Kluyveromyces lactis: one gene and its partners. The protein of the gene in region 1 interacts with the protein of each later gene in a biochemical or structural test. Links are inferred from orthologs where the notes say so. Each region holds a gene or a part of one and is shown on either strand. Other genes may lie near its edges.

Region 1 (4,245 bases):
GAAACACCCAGAACTATTCGAAAGTCTTGGTATCGCTCAACCTAAAGGTGTTATTCTATACGGTCCGCCAGGTACTGGTAAGACTTTACTAGCGAGAGCCGTAGCACATCACACAGACTGTAAATTTATCAGAGTAAGTGGTGCCGAATTGGTGCAAAAATATATCGGTGAAGGTTCCCGTATGGTCCGTGAGTTATTCGTGATGGCTAGAGAACATGCGCCTTCTATCATTTTCATGGACGAAATCGATTCTATCGGTTCCAGTCGTGTTGAAGGATCTGGCGGTGGTGATTCCGAAGTGCAAAGAACCATGTTGGAATTGTTGAATCAATTGGACGGGTTTGAAACTTCGAAAAACATTAAAATCATCATGGCTACAAACAGATTGGATATATTGGACCCTGCATTGCTAAGACCAGGTAGAATTGATAGAAAAATCGAATTCCCACCACCAACCGTAGCGGCTAGAACAGAGATTCTAAGAATCCACTCAAGAAAGATGAACTTGACCCGTGGTATTAACCTAAGGAAAGTCGCCGAAAAGATGAACGGATGCTCTGGAGCTGACGTTAAAGGTGTTTGTACCGAGGCTGGTATGTACGCACTAAGGGAACGTAGAATTCACGTAACCCAAGAAGATTTTGAACTAGCCGTGGCCAAGGTCATGAACAAGAACGACGAAACTGCTATCTCTGTAGCAAAATTGTTCAAGTAAGGATCCTTCACCCCTTTCATCTCAAACAGCGCATATCATTAGATACATCCCTACATATTATACATAAGCCACGTACAACACACGCCTGTGGTTGTACCCCCGTGTCAATATGTTTCTAATCAGATCCTCTCTTTTTCCCCCTCATCGCATCTCATCTCGTCATAAACTTGACCATCATGTCAATCTTCTCAATATACACGAAAGAAGAAAAAAAAAATTTTTACATTGTAAAGAGGAAAAGCTGTGAATCTTTTGAAATAAAATTTCAACCTTTAAGCCATTGAATTTTACCATTACGATAGCACATTTTGCATAAAACAGGATAGAGGAAAAGAGGCACAGAGAGCTACTGCTGATCTGATAGTCAATAGATTTATCAGCACTTGTATTGTTTGAATTGTTAGAGAGTAACAGTGGACAGTAAAGAAACAAATCTGGGAAAAAAAGAATCTCACAAGAAAGTGATAATTTTTTTTTGTTCTTCGTTTATTTGTTTAAAGAGAAAGAGTTAAGAATTGGACTTTAATTTCATTCTACTCATTCGTGTTTCTATATAACTCGACTCGTTTTCTCTAGGTACTCTGGATTACTCGGTTACAAGAGAGAAATTAAACAGAAAAGAGCTTAGATCCAGCTAATTTCATCTGAAGAAGAGAGAAAGAGCGGTTTTTCAAAGCAGATATGGGCGAACCTACATCCGATCAGCAACCAGCTGTTGAAGCTCCAGTTGTGCAGGAGGAGACAACCAGTTCTCCGCAAAAAAACAGTGGATATGTCAAGAATACTGCTGGAAGCGGTGCTCCTAGAAATGGGAAATATGATGGTAACAGGAAGAACTCTAGGCCTTATAACCAAAGAGGTAACAACAACAATAATAATGGTTCTTCCTCGAATAAGCACTATCAAAAGTATAACCAACCAGCGTACGGTGTTTCTGCGGGATACATTCCGAACTACGGCGTATCGGCAGAGTACAACCCTCTGTACTATAACCAGTACCAACAGCAGCAACAGCTGTACGCTGCTGCTTACCAGACTCCAATGAGCGGACAAGGTTATGTCCCCCCAGTAGTGTCTCCAGCTGCTGTTTCAGCTAAACCAGCGAAGGTTGAGATTACTAACAAGTCTGGTGAACACATAGATATTGCTTCCATTGCTCATCCACATACTCATTCTCATTCTCAATCTCATTCGCGTGCAGTTCCAGTAGTGTCGCCTCCAGCTAACGTTACCGTCGCTGCTGCTGTATCATCCTCTGTGTCTCCATCAGCTTCTCCAGCTGTCAAAGTACAGAGCCCTGCTGCTAATGGTAAGGAACAATCTCCAGCTAAGCCTGAAGAACCAAAGAAGGACACTTTAATTGTGAACGATTTCTTGGAACAAGTTAAAAGACGCAAGGCTGCTTTAGCTGCTAAGAAGGCTGTCGAAGAGAAGGGTCCTGAGGAACCGAAGGAATCTGTCGTTGGAACTGACACTGATGCAAGCGTTGATACTAAGACAGGGCCTACAGCCACTGAATCTGCCAAGTCTGAAGAAGCTCAATCAGAATCACAAGAAAAGACTAAGGAAGAGGCTCCAGCTGAGCCAAAACCATTGACTTTGGCCGAAAAATTGAGACTTAAGAGGATGGAAGCTGCAAAGCAAGCTTCTGCTAAGACCGAGGAACTAAAGACTGAAGAATCTAAGCCTGAAGAAACAAAGACCGAGGAGCTAAAGACTGAAGAATCTAAGCCTGAAGAAACAAAGACCGAGGAGCTAAAGACTGAAGAAACAAAGTCCGAGGAACTAAAGACTGAAGAACCTAAGGCGGAAGAATCAAAGGCGGAAGAACCAAAGCCTGAAGAACCAAAGACCGAGGAACCGACGACTGAACAACCAAAGTCAGATGAACCAAAGTCGGAAGAATCAAAAACTGAAGAGCCAAAAACCGAGGTATTAAAGACTGAAGAACCAAAATCGGAAGAATCAAAGCCTGCAGAACCAAAGACTGAAGAAACAGCAACTGAAGAAACAGCAACTGAAGCAAACGCCGAAGAAGGTGAACCGGCTCCTGCTGGTCCCGTTGAAACTCCTGCTGATGTTGAAACAAAACCTCGAGAAGAGGCTGAAGTTGAAGACGATGGAAAGATTACCATGACCGATTTCCTACAGAAGTTGAAAGAGGTTTCTCCAGTTGATGATATTTATTCCTTCCAATACCCAAGTGACATTACGCCTCCAAATGATAGATATAAAAAGACAAGCATTAAATATGCATACGGACCTGATTTCTTGTATCAGTTCAAAGAAAAGGTCGATGTTAAATACGATCCAGCGTGGATGGCTGAAATGACGAGTAAAATTGTCATCCCTCCTAAGAAGCCTGGTTCAAGCGGAAGAGGCGAAGATAGATTTAGTAAGGGTAAGGTTGGATCTCTAAGAAGTGAAGGCAGATCGGGTTCCAGGTCCAACTCGAAGAAGAAGTCAAAGAGGGATGATAGAAAATCTAATAGATCATACACTTCCAGAAAGGACCGTGAAAGATTCAGAGAGGAAGAAGTCGAAGAGCCAAAGGTTGAGGTTGCCCCATTGGTCCCAAGTGCTAATAGATGGGTTCCTAAATCTAAGATGAAGAAAACAGAAGTCAAGTTAGCTCCAGACGGAACAGAACTTTACGACGCGGAAGAAGCATCAAGAAAGATGAAGTCATTGCTGAATAAATTGACATTAGAAATGTTCGAACCTATTTCTGATGATATCATGAAGATCGCTAACCAATCTAGATGGGAAGAAAAGGGTGAGACTTTGAAGATTGTCATCCAACAAATTTTCAATAAGGCCTGCGATGAACCTCATTGGTCATCAATGTACGCGCAATTATGTGGTAAGGTCGTTAAAGACTTAGATGATAGCATTAAAGACTCAGAAACCCCAGATAAGACTGGTTCTCACTTGGTTTTGCATTACTTAGTCCAAAGATGTCAAACTGAATTCCAAACAGGATGGACTGATCAACTACCTACAAACGAAGACGGTACTCCTCTACAACCTGAAATGATGTCCGATGAATACTATAAGATGGCTGCCGCTAAGAGAAGAGGTTTGGGTTTGGTTCGTTTCATTGGTTTCTTGTACCGTTCGAACTTATTGACTTCCAGAATGGTCTTCTTCTGTTTCAAGAGACTAATGAAGGATATTCAAAACTCTCCTACTGAAGATACTCTAGAGTCTGTATGTGAACTTTTGGAAACAATTGGTGAACAGTTCGAAGGTGCTCGTATTCAAGTTACTGCAGAAGCTGTCATTGAGGGTTCAAGCTTGCTAGACACACTATTCGACCAAATAAAGAACGTGATCGAAAATGGTGACATCTCCAGCAGAATCAAGTTTAAGTTGATCGACATTGTCGAACTAAGAGAAAAGAGGAACTGGAATAGTAAAAATAAGAACGATGGTCCAAAGACCATTGCTCAAATTCACGAAGAAGAAGCCTTGAAGAGGGCTTTGGAGGAAAGAGAAAGAGAAAGAGATCGCCATGGGTCCAGAGGTGG
Region 2 (3,119 bases), on another chromosome or scaffold:
TTACAGTACGCCATAGAAATCAAACCTACAGATCATTCATGTAATGAAACCGTCTGATGAAAGTGTATTTTTACTCTTCTTCCAACAAGATTCGCACCCTATTCTTCTCTTTTGACAGGACCTAGTATTCTTCTTGTCCATTCAGGATGTAAATATGATTTGATCTCAAATTGTGTCTTCTTTTTCCACGAAAGTGTAAACAAAAGAGAGAAAAGGATCATCACAGCTGAATATTGAAAGACAATAAATAGGTTATAAGAAGACAAGGGCAGGTCGGCACGGCGCACCTATCAGTGCCATTCTTGAGCCGCTAATGATGTATGCGCAAGGTCATGAATGTATTAAACATATGCGTATATATGATAGTATACATACAGTATTTTACAGAGCTAAAGGATAAATATTGAAGAGATTTAGTTCGCTCTTGATAAAATGAAAATGATATTTATTCTGTTAATGCAAAACAAGGAGATGGTTAGGATGATAAATAGAAAACGAAACACCGAAAAATCTGGTTAAAATTTGAATAGTATTTGAACTTTGACCATTTTCTTATAAGATCATGATTTTCTTTATTCCGAATCCTCATCATCTTCTTCGGCAGTTTTCAACCAAGTGATGAATGGCTTGGCAGCTCTACGAACCTTCTTAGAAACATCCTTTGGTACAAACTTCTTAGAGCATTTGGTACCGAAGCTGATAATCTCTTCTTCGGAAATGATGTCGTTGTTGTATAATTGGACCAAGATCTTTGGTAGTAATGGGATCAATTCTTGGTGATCAAGTCCAAGGAATCTTTCAATACCACCCAAAAAGTTCTTTTCGAAGTCTTCGTCCTTCAATAATTTTTGCAAGAACGCAGTATGTTCAGAGATATCCGATACGATATCTTCATCGAAAAGAACTTGGGCCAGAACTGCAGCAACCTTTGGATCTTCCAGAAGCTCGAGTTCTGCAATCTTTTTGTATAATTCAATATCGGTAGGTAGTTCTTCTTCATGTAGTACCCATTCACCAAATTCTTCCAACTTGGAGAATTCGCCAGTTTCTTTGTCAGCTTCACCTTGTAATTCTTTCGCACGAGCTCTGATGGCTTCTTCAGACATATCAACGGCCCAGTCCTCATCCTTGACTTCAATGGTAGCCAAGTTAGAGGCAGCGGCATTAATTTGTCTGGCCAATTCATCATCATCGGAATCGTTTTCTTCGGCATCGTCACCAGCTTCAGCTTGGGATTTACCTTGAGCGATATCACTAATAGAAAGACCACCACCTCTGACATTAGCAGACGCAGTGGCAGCCTTCTTCTTTTTCTTGGAACCGTTCATACTGTCAGGAGGGTTCTTTAAGACGAACGAGGACAACTTATGTCTCAAATCCATAGGGGTTCTCTTACCACAAGCTTTACAGTCTCTAACCAAATCACCATCTTTAGTGATAACAATTTCAGTTTCAGGATTCTTACAGGATCCACAAAGGACAAACTTAGTGATGAAACCATCCAATACGTCCTGTAATTTGGCTGGTTGATGAGCACCATTGACAATGTAACGATCATTTTCAACATTGATAGCAGTTTGGGCACCCAATTCAAACCCGAAATATTTGATGATGTATGGAGCTGGTCTGTTTAAAGCACGGGCAACATCCATGGTATTCATAACAACAGTTTTGATACCATTACCTCTACCTTCAATCTTAGCCTGAATTGGAGGCATTTTATAACGGTAGAAAGGGTCATTGTTGTCTCTGCAAATATTGATTGACATCTTCGGCTACTGTTACTAATCTCTAGTCACTTGTTTCTGCTACCACCGTGTCTTTGACGTTCTTCAAGTCTGGAAAACACAAAAACTTTTAAAAGTAAGTTCGAACTGATCCTGTATTGGACTGTAAAACGGGGTCATTAACGCCTTCTTGAATCATGTATATGGAAGAAGTTCATCTCATCTCTTAGAAGTTCAACTTCAACTCTTCGCGTGTGGCAATCAGATACTGAGGCCTTGATTCCTGAAAAATTTTCGTCGTTTATGGTGATATGAAAATACATGTCGAAACGGAGCATGTGTCACGTGCTTTAGCTCCAACGATTCATTTGGCTCTGTGATTGTTTAAGCATCGGTTCTGTAAGAGACATATTACAGGGTATAACATGGGTGAGATACGTATGGTGGTGTTAAATGTTTGAATACCTTCAATACAATTACTGCTCGTGGAATTTAGTGAGTAATTTACTGTGTTGAAATTGTGCTCGAATCTCACATACATCTTAGGGTCGAAATCTAACTTTGTTCATATCATGGATTTACTTAAGAACAAATTACTGGCAATCCATAAGACTGGCGCATGGGCCATTCTGCCACCTAAAGAAATTGATTTGGCTTATAAGGAAACGAAACTTTTGATAGATGCTGGGTTAAATGGGCTTGACGAAATTAGTTATTTCTCAATGGTCGAATTATTGTTTTATCTTTGTCTTGTTCGTGGTGAAGACACAGAGGCTGAAACATTGTACAAAACTGTGACAGATCGTCTAGGTGACGATTCTCCAAGAATTCATGTGATGCACTCTATGTTAATACAGGTCACTCGATCCGATGATGCGGCTAAGAAATATATCGAGGATTTGATCAAGAATCAGCTGGAAATAGCTACTGATTCAGAAGACTACGTACAGATGAAGAAAAGGCTACTTGCGATAGAGAGACCTTCGATGAGTAAAGAAAAATGGGTAAAAGAACTACTGGATCTGGTTGAGAAGTTTCCTCTAGATGCAGAAATATGGTCGTTACTTTCGCAAGAATACCAGGAGGCTGGGGACCTACGTCAAGCAATATATTGCATGGAAGAAGTCATAATTGGGGTGCCGTTCAGTTATGAAGCATTTGGTCAATTAGCTTATTTGCATTACTTGAAGTCTCAATCAGATTCTGACCCTGAAGCTGCTTTGCAATCAAGTTTATCAAATGCGTTGAGATCTGTTGAGTTGGCAGAAGCCTACGTGAAAGGTTGGGGTATTGTATTGAAGACATCTCAGAAACTGAATAAAAAACCTGAATTAACTCAATTAGCTGTAAGAAAATTGCAAGAACTTCAGCAAAATAATGATAACAGAGAAA
Region 3 (3,718 bases), on another chromosome or scaffold:
CCTCTTCATTAAAAAGACTACTAATGTCCTCCCATTAGAGCTTTAGTATTATATAAAACGGGTAGAGTAACAATAATAGTTAGATAGAAAAAATCAGTAAGAAAAAATTTGAAGAGAAAAATGGGGCATACCTCCGGATTGAATTAGCGGTATGGAGAAAGGGTAGAGTGATGTGATGGATTGTGGTAATATGGTATATGTGGAGCGTGGTAATTTTTTTTATTGGTAAAGATTAAAAGCACAACATTTTTGGCAACAATGGAAAGCCTGTGATGAACAAAAAAAAAAAAAGCGAGAGAAAAAGAAGAGTGGCAGAAAGTAGTTTATTTCGACTAGTTTAGGTCTATAACAATGCGTAAGCTAATTAGCACCACCCAGTTCCAATGCGTGAAGCTGAGACTATTCATATAGTTAGCTGTTCGTTTTTTTTTTTAATTTTTCTTTTTCTTCGGGGGAAAGATATAGAAAGGACAAGATGAAGATCAAGGTCAAAAAATCAAGTTTAAGCTTGAGCTTCTTGTTCCTTCTTGAAGTTTTCGTAAGCAGCTAAGGCTTCTTGGAATTGCTGTTCAAATTGTTCGTCGTTGTCCAACAATTGGATGACTTGCTGTGGTGGTAGATCCAAGATCATACCGGTGATCTTACCAGCGGCGTTTTCGTCGTCAATCTTGGCACTGACCTTCTTGTACAATTGTTCACCCAAGGCTTGTCTTTGCTTTTGTTGTTGGATGTAGTGTTGTTGTTGGTGTCTTGGGAATTGGTTTTGAGGTGGCATACCTTGGTACATTGGACCGTTTGGTCTACCAGCAAATTGTTGTGGTGGTGGGACCATACCGTTCTTTGGAATACCGGCACCCATTGGGCCGTTCATACCTGGGTTTGGACCTGGGAAACCTCTTGGGGCCATAACACCATAGAACATTTGTGGCATGTATTGGCCTGGCATACCAGCAGCAGCGGCAGCAGCTTGTTGTTGTTGCTGTTGTTGGAATCTGATTTGGTTTCTGGCTTGAATTTGTTGAGCCAATTGGGATCTTCTGACATCCTTTCTTTGAGCAATGGCAACGTACAATGGCTTACCGGCAACAATTTGTTGGTTCTTTTCGGTCATAGCCTTGGTAGCTTCTTCTGGAGAAGAGAAACAAACGAAACCGAAACCCTTAGAGTTACCCTCTTGGTCTCTCATGACTCTAGCAGAGGTGATGGTACCGTATGGGGCGAATTCTTCCTTCAATTTTTCGTCATCGATGGAATCGTCCAAGTTCTTGATGAACAAGTTAACACCTTGGAACTTAGCCAATTTTTCCAAACGGTATTGTTCGTATTGTTTCTTCAATTCTTCAGCACGTTCGTACTTCTTTTGAGCTCTGCCAACGTACAAAGCTTGAGACTTGAATTCCTTACCGTTCAACTCTTCAACGGCCTTGGCAGCGGCGTTGTGGTCAACAAAGTTAACGAAACCGAAACCCTTTGGCTTACCCTCAGCATCCTTTTCCAAAGCAGCAGAGACAATTTCACCGTATTGGGAGAACAACTGTTCGAACTCTTCGTCAGTGGTTTCAACGTCAATGTTCTTGACGTAAATGTTGGTGAAGTTAGCCTTGGCTTCTTCCAACTTGGAGATACGGTCCTTCTTTGGAACGTGCATGGCAACGTAAACTTCCAAACCGTTCATCAACATACCGTTGACGGCTTCAATAGCATCCTTAGCATCGGATTCTTCCTTGAAATGAACGAAACCGAAGCCTCTAGAGTTTCCATTCTCATCTAAAGCAACTTTACAAGACAAGACTTCACCGAAAGTGGAGAAAGTTTCATGCAAAGCCTTGTTGTCAATGGCTGGGTGCAAGTTCTTGATGAAAATGTTACCAGAACCCTTCTTTCTGATAGCTGGGTCACGTTCGGACCACATAATTCTACATGGTCTACCGTTGATTTCAGCATAGTTCAATTCTTGAATAGCTTTCTTACCAGCTTCGTAATCAGTATAGTTAACGTAAGCGTAACCTAACGAAGCCTTGGTGACGGCATCACGACAAACACGGATCGAGGAAATTGGACCCAATGGTGAAAACACATCGTACAACAATGCTTCAGTAATGTTTGGATCCAATTCACCAACGTACAATGAAGCGTTGTTGTTTTCAACCTTAGAAACAGAAGAAGCTTCGCTTTCAGAAGCAGAAGTGGATGGAGCACTGGCAGATTGAGCTGGTTGCTGATCATCGTTGATCTGCAAGTTTTCCAATTGCTCAGCAGTTTTTTCAGTAATATCAGACATTATGAGATGAGATGAGATGAGATAAATTTAACCGAAAAAGATGGCGGTTGGTTGGTTTTGTAATGTGTTTTTAAAATATATGTTTTTTTATGGTTTTTTAATGTGTATTTTAGTGTATTGTTTTGTTTAATACCCACACAGTTGCGAACCTTTGATGAAACTATTAAGTTTTGATTTAACGATGGATGGAAATGAAAAACCCTTAGTTAACTTGAATTCAAAAAGACTTCTAACTGGAATGTTTTGACTAATATTAAAAAGATATAAACCACGCTTATTCTTTTCTTTTACCAAAAACAATTAAAATACAGGATACAGATGATACCTTTAGAGAGTTTGCTGACTTTGACCGTGGTCTTTTTAAACAAACAAATTGCACAAAATAAAATGTTACAATAACTGAACCAGAAAGGTAATACAAATAAGTAACAAACGAAACAGTATAAACTAACCAAGATAACTAAAAACTTATAACAAATTAAATAAATGAAACAACATCACAAGAACTTATTTAAAATCGTTATATAATTCATCCATCTCTGTGAGAACAGTCCTTAATTGTTGTGATGAGTTAGCCAAAAAGTGAAAATTTTCATTGAAAAATTTAAAGAGTTGAAAAAGAGTTTAAAGCTTTTCCACAAAAGGAAAGGTAGGTACGTGCGAAATGATCTGAGGCATCACCACAACAAACCAGGTATTTTACTAGCAGCCGGCTGTTTCTGGTGCGCCCTTGTGCCTCATGTCATTTATGAAGGTAATAATAACTAATAGCAATATGTTGTTGATTAGATATCTTTTTTTTTTTCGTAAATTGATAGGCGTATATATCTCTATGTTTTGTTACATTTGACTAATTAATGTTCAGAGGCTTTGATTTTGTCGTACATCGCCAGGAGTTTGGAAGATGGGACATCTCTTGGCCAGTAATATGCAGTGAAAGACCATAAATGTCTTTTATATTTTTCTGGAGAGGTCTTAGACGAGTCCTTCTTGTGCGATTCGATGTAGTCACCAACACGTTTCAATTCCTTCTTCAATAGGTTAGCCCATTGCTTACGTTCAAGACCGTCTCCTCCAGATCTTAGACGTTTGAGTGAGCTACGGACGTTTGTCATCGTTTTCTTACACTCTTCTTCGTCCATACTGTCGTATTCTTTGTCAGGAAGACGGATATCGGCTTTTGGTGCCAACGGTATGTCTTTACCTTTCCTCTGCTGTTTTTTCGATCCGACGACAGGCGTACCAGATCTTGATGATGGTTGTTGATGGTGATGGGCCTTGCCACGCTTTGTTTCGGAGCTATTGTCTGGTGTAGAGTCCTTGCCGGTTAAGTTAACACTATTGCCGTCACTTGGGGTACCAGCGGTATGGGCATTTTCGTTCCCATTGCTGTTCCCAGCAGTAGTAGCAGACTTCTTTGGTTTACGTTTGTTTTGC
Region 4 (2,723 bases), on another chromosome or scaffold:
ATAGCCTTGAAACTGTTGTCCCCTTCTAAACCACGTCTAGTCTGTTGTTTTGTCGAAACAATGTTGATTGGATTAGTGAATAACTGAGAGGTTGCTGCTGCCAGCATGGAAAGCAGCAATTCTTCAATTGTTGAAAACCTGGCAGCCTCACCCTTCACTTTCTTCACACGGAAATAATGTCTTCTGATCAAGGTATACCAGAAGAAATAAGAGAAACTCTGTATGAAAGTTCCAAGCAATGATGCGCTTAACCCATGGTATAATCCACCAAACCCTTCATTCCGATAAACTTTTACAATCACATCTAATGCATGCTTATACCGCTGCTCCAATGACTCTTTAGTCGCTGTCGGAGGTTCAGGCTTCGGTTTAATCTGCTGTATACCGTGTTTCTTCGGTTTACTGGAGCCAGTACTTTCCTTGGTAGAGACATCAGCTTGAACATCAGAAGAAGGGTACAAATCACCTTGTTTCAACTGAGTTTGAATCACAGTTTTCGCCAAATCAAGTGGATACACTGCCAAATTGGCAAACCCGCTGGAGACTGCCCCAACGAAAGCATTCTCTAAACTTGCCATATGTTACGGTGGTACGTGATTTAATTGACCCTGATCTACTAAACTTCGGCGTTTATAAAATTGATTATCTCCTGTTCACAATAAATTGTTAGAGGGGCGGTGATTCATTCAATAAGCACTGCAAAGTACTAAATTTACTTTTTTTTTTGATTTTATTATTCTCCGCTTCCAACCGAAGAGTTTAGGCTTGAAAACAGGAACATTTTGCACTTTACACCTTAGAAATTATATTCCATTTATATAGTAGTTACTTTCCCAGAATTATTCCCCAATTAGATGAATAGCGGTCACTTATCACAGATTATTTTCCAGTTTTTCGGCTGTAATGTCCCTTCTCCACACATTTTTTGGCTCTCGTCTGCCTCGAAGTGAGGATTCTTCGAAAAGAAAAAAAAAAAGTGTTGATATTGATCACGTGGTTTTGAAATGCCATTCGTCAACATCGAAAATTAATATTGAAACCGTCAAAACTATGAATTTCCATGCAGGTATTTCCAATTGAAGAATCTTTAGAAATCTAAGGGACTATGACATTGAATAATACTGACTGCATCTGCTAACGTTCGCTCTTAATTTAGAACTATTCCCACACTTTGATCGTTGTTCAAGAAGGATATTTGTTTGTATCTAGTGGGTTTTAGAAGTTAATTTATTGATTATAGAGTGTCCACTTTTTGAAAGGATGTCGCAATATATTGGTAAGACTATTGCTCTTATTTCGAATACTGATAACCGTTATGTCGGCTTATTGGAGTCTATTGACTCTGAGAAAGGTGTTGTTACTTTAAGACAAGTTCGTTGTTTCGGTACAGAGGGACGCAAGGGATGGGGCCCGGAAGAAATCTATCCCAACCCTAATATCTACGATACGGTGCCTTTCAACGGTAATGACGTTAAGGATTTAAACATTTTAGACGTTCCTTTGGAACAAGTACAACCTGTATTGCCACCTCAGGTAAGCGGTCAACCACCAGCTCCGTTGGCTAATGCAAATGGGCCCAACGTTCCTGCTGCGGTGGCCGGGTATGGTGTGTACGCTCCAGACAAGGATCAGCAGCAAGTTCCCCAACAACACCAGCAAAAACAGCAGCAGCAAAGACAGCAGACCCGCCAACAGCCTGTTACCGAAAAGAAAGTTCCTAACCAGCAACAGCAGAAGTCTGCGGCTCCTGCTGCTCCTGTGGCTGCGGTGGCTCCTTCTGCTGTTCCAGATTCTGAATTTGATTTCGAAAGTAACAACGCCAAATTCCAGAATGCTGAAAAGCCCAGAGAATCAGATATAGAACAAGAGAAGCAAACCTCCAAGACAGATGAGATTTTCTACGATAAAAAATCCTCATTCTTTGATTCCATTTCAAGTTCCGCCGTAGAAAACTCGTCTTCTGCCAAATGGGAAGAGGAACGCCAGGTCAACTTGGATACTTTCGGTCAAGCCAGACCAAGAAACAATGGTCGTGGCGGCTTCAGAGGTCGTGGTGGATATAGAGGTAACCGTGGCGGTAACCGCGGTGGCTTCCGTGGTGGAAATCGTAATGCTGCCAACAAGCCACCAGTCCATGATGTTGAATCTTAACAGAACCCCATTAAATACCTATTATCTCAACTACCTCTTAACACACCGGGAAATTGAAGCTAACACGAAATGAATCGAGCAATCTATCGAAGTAAAAGCAGGGAAAGACGCATGTGTAACATAGAAACACTAAGTATACAAATTTAAAAGCTATTATAATTTTAAAAGTACAGCATTAAAACCGTATGTCCATCGGCAAGCAATTATGTTTCCGTCCATCAGCACGAAGACTTTTTCCCTGGTCTCTTTCCATCCCATGTCTCATGTCAAAGGCATCCTTGAGGTCATTTGGTTTTGTTGACCGGGAAGGTATTGGATCAGTTTGCGAGTTGTAATATCCTACAACTCTTCTATAGACAGAATATCCCAATTTTTCATATAAACTGATCGCCAATTGGTTATTGCATTTCACAAATAAATCAATAAAGTTCACATTATGCGGGGAGTTATCTGTTATGGTTTTTAATGTGTCACATAGCATCGATGCAAGCGATATTCTCCTGAACCTAGGTGATATCGTCACAGCAGTAATGTGTGCATGCCAGTCTTGTCCTTTTCCCTCTGTTTTACCC

What was found.
Region 2: the proteins of KLLA0_A04730g (region 1) and TIF5 form a complex in vitro, tested with the Saccharomyces cerevisiae proteins (2 studies listed by BioGRID). The link is inferred for Kluyveromyces lactis from reciprocal best matches to the Saccharomyces cerevisiae genes TIF4631 and TIF5.
Region 3: the proteins of KLLA0_A04730g (region 1) and PAB1 form a complex in vitro, tested with the Saccharomyces cerevisiae proteins (10 studies listed by BioGRID). The link is inferred for Kluyveromyces lactis from reciprocal best matches to the Saccharomyces cerevisiae genes TIF4631 and PAB1.
Region 4: the proteins of KLLA0_A04730g (region 1) and SCD6 form a complex in vitro, tested with the Saccharomyces cerevisiae proteins (3 studies listed by BioGRID). The link is inferred for Kluyveromyces lactis from reciprocal best matches to the Saccharomyces cerevisiae genes TIF4631 and SCD6.

The regions. Positions count from the first base shown.
Region 1 is NC_006037.1:422,080-426,324, reverse strand, and holds the start of KLLA0_A04730g (uncharacterized protein), read left to right. Parts: upstream 1-1,396; coding exon 1,397-4,245. Other genes in the region: proteasome regulatory particle base subunit RPT6, read left to right, coding at 1-715. UniProt on the Saccharomyces cerevisiae protein: Component of the eIF4F complex, which interacts with the mRNA cap structure and serves as an initial point of assembly for the translation apparatus.
Region 2 is NC_006041.1:552,114-555,232, forward strand, and holds TIF5 (translation initiation factor eIF5), read right to left. Parts: upstream 1,770-3,119; coding exon 573-1,769; downstream 1-572. Other genes in the region: EMC2 (Emc2p), read left to right, coding at 2,300-3,119. UniProt on the Saccharomyces cerevisiae protein: Catalyzes the hydrolysis of GTP bound to the 40S ribosomal initiation complex (40S.mRNA.Met-tRNA[F].eIF-2.GTP) with the subsequent joining of a 60S ribosomal subunit resulting in the release of eIF-2 and the guanine nucleotide.
Region 3 is NC_006039.1:1,551,885-1,555,602, reverse strand, and holds PAB1 (polyadenylate-binding protein), read right to left. Parts: upstream 2,282-3,718; coding exon 503-2,281; downstream 1-502. Other genes in the region: chromatin-remodeling ATPase CHD1, read right to left, coding at 3,136-3,718. UniProt on the Saccharomyces cerevisiae protein: Binds the poly(A) tail of mRNA. Appears to be an important mediator of the multiple roles of the poly(A) tail in mRNA biogenesis, stability and translation.
Region 4 is NC_006038.1:986,148-988,870, reverse strand, and holds SCD6 (Scd6p), read left to right. Parts: upstream 1-1,260; coding exon 1,261-2,151; downstream 2,152-2,723. Other genes in the region: ANT1 (Ant1p), read right to left, coding at 1-578; peptide alpha-N-acetyltransferase complex B subunit NAT3, read right to left, coding at 2,327-2,723.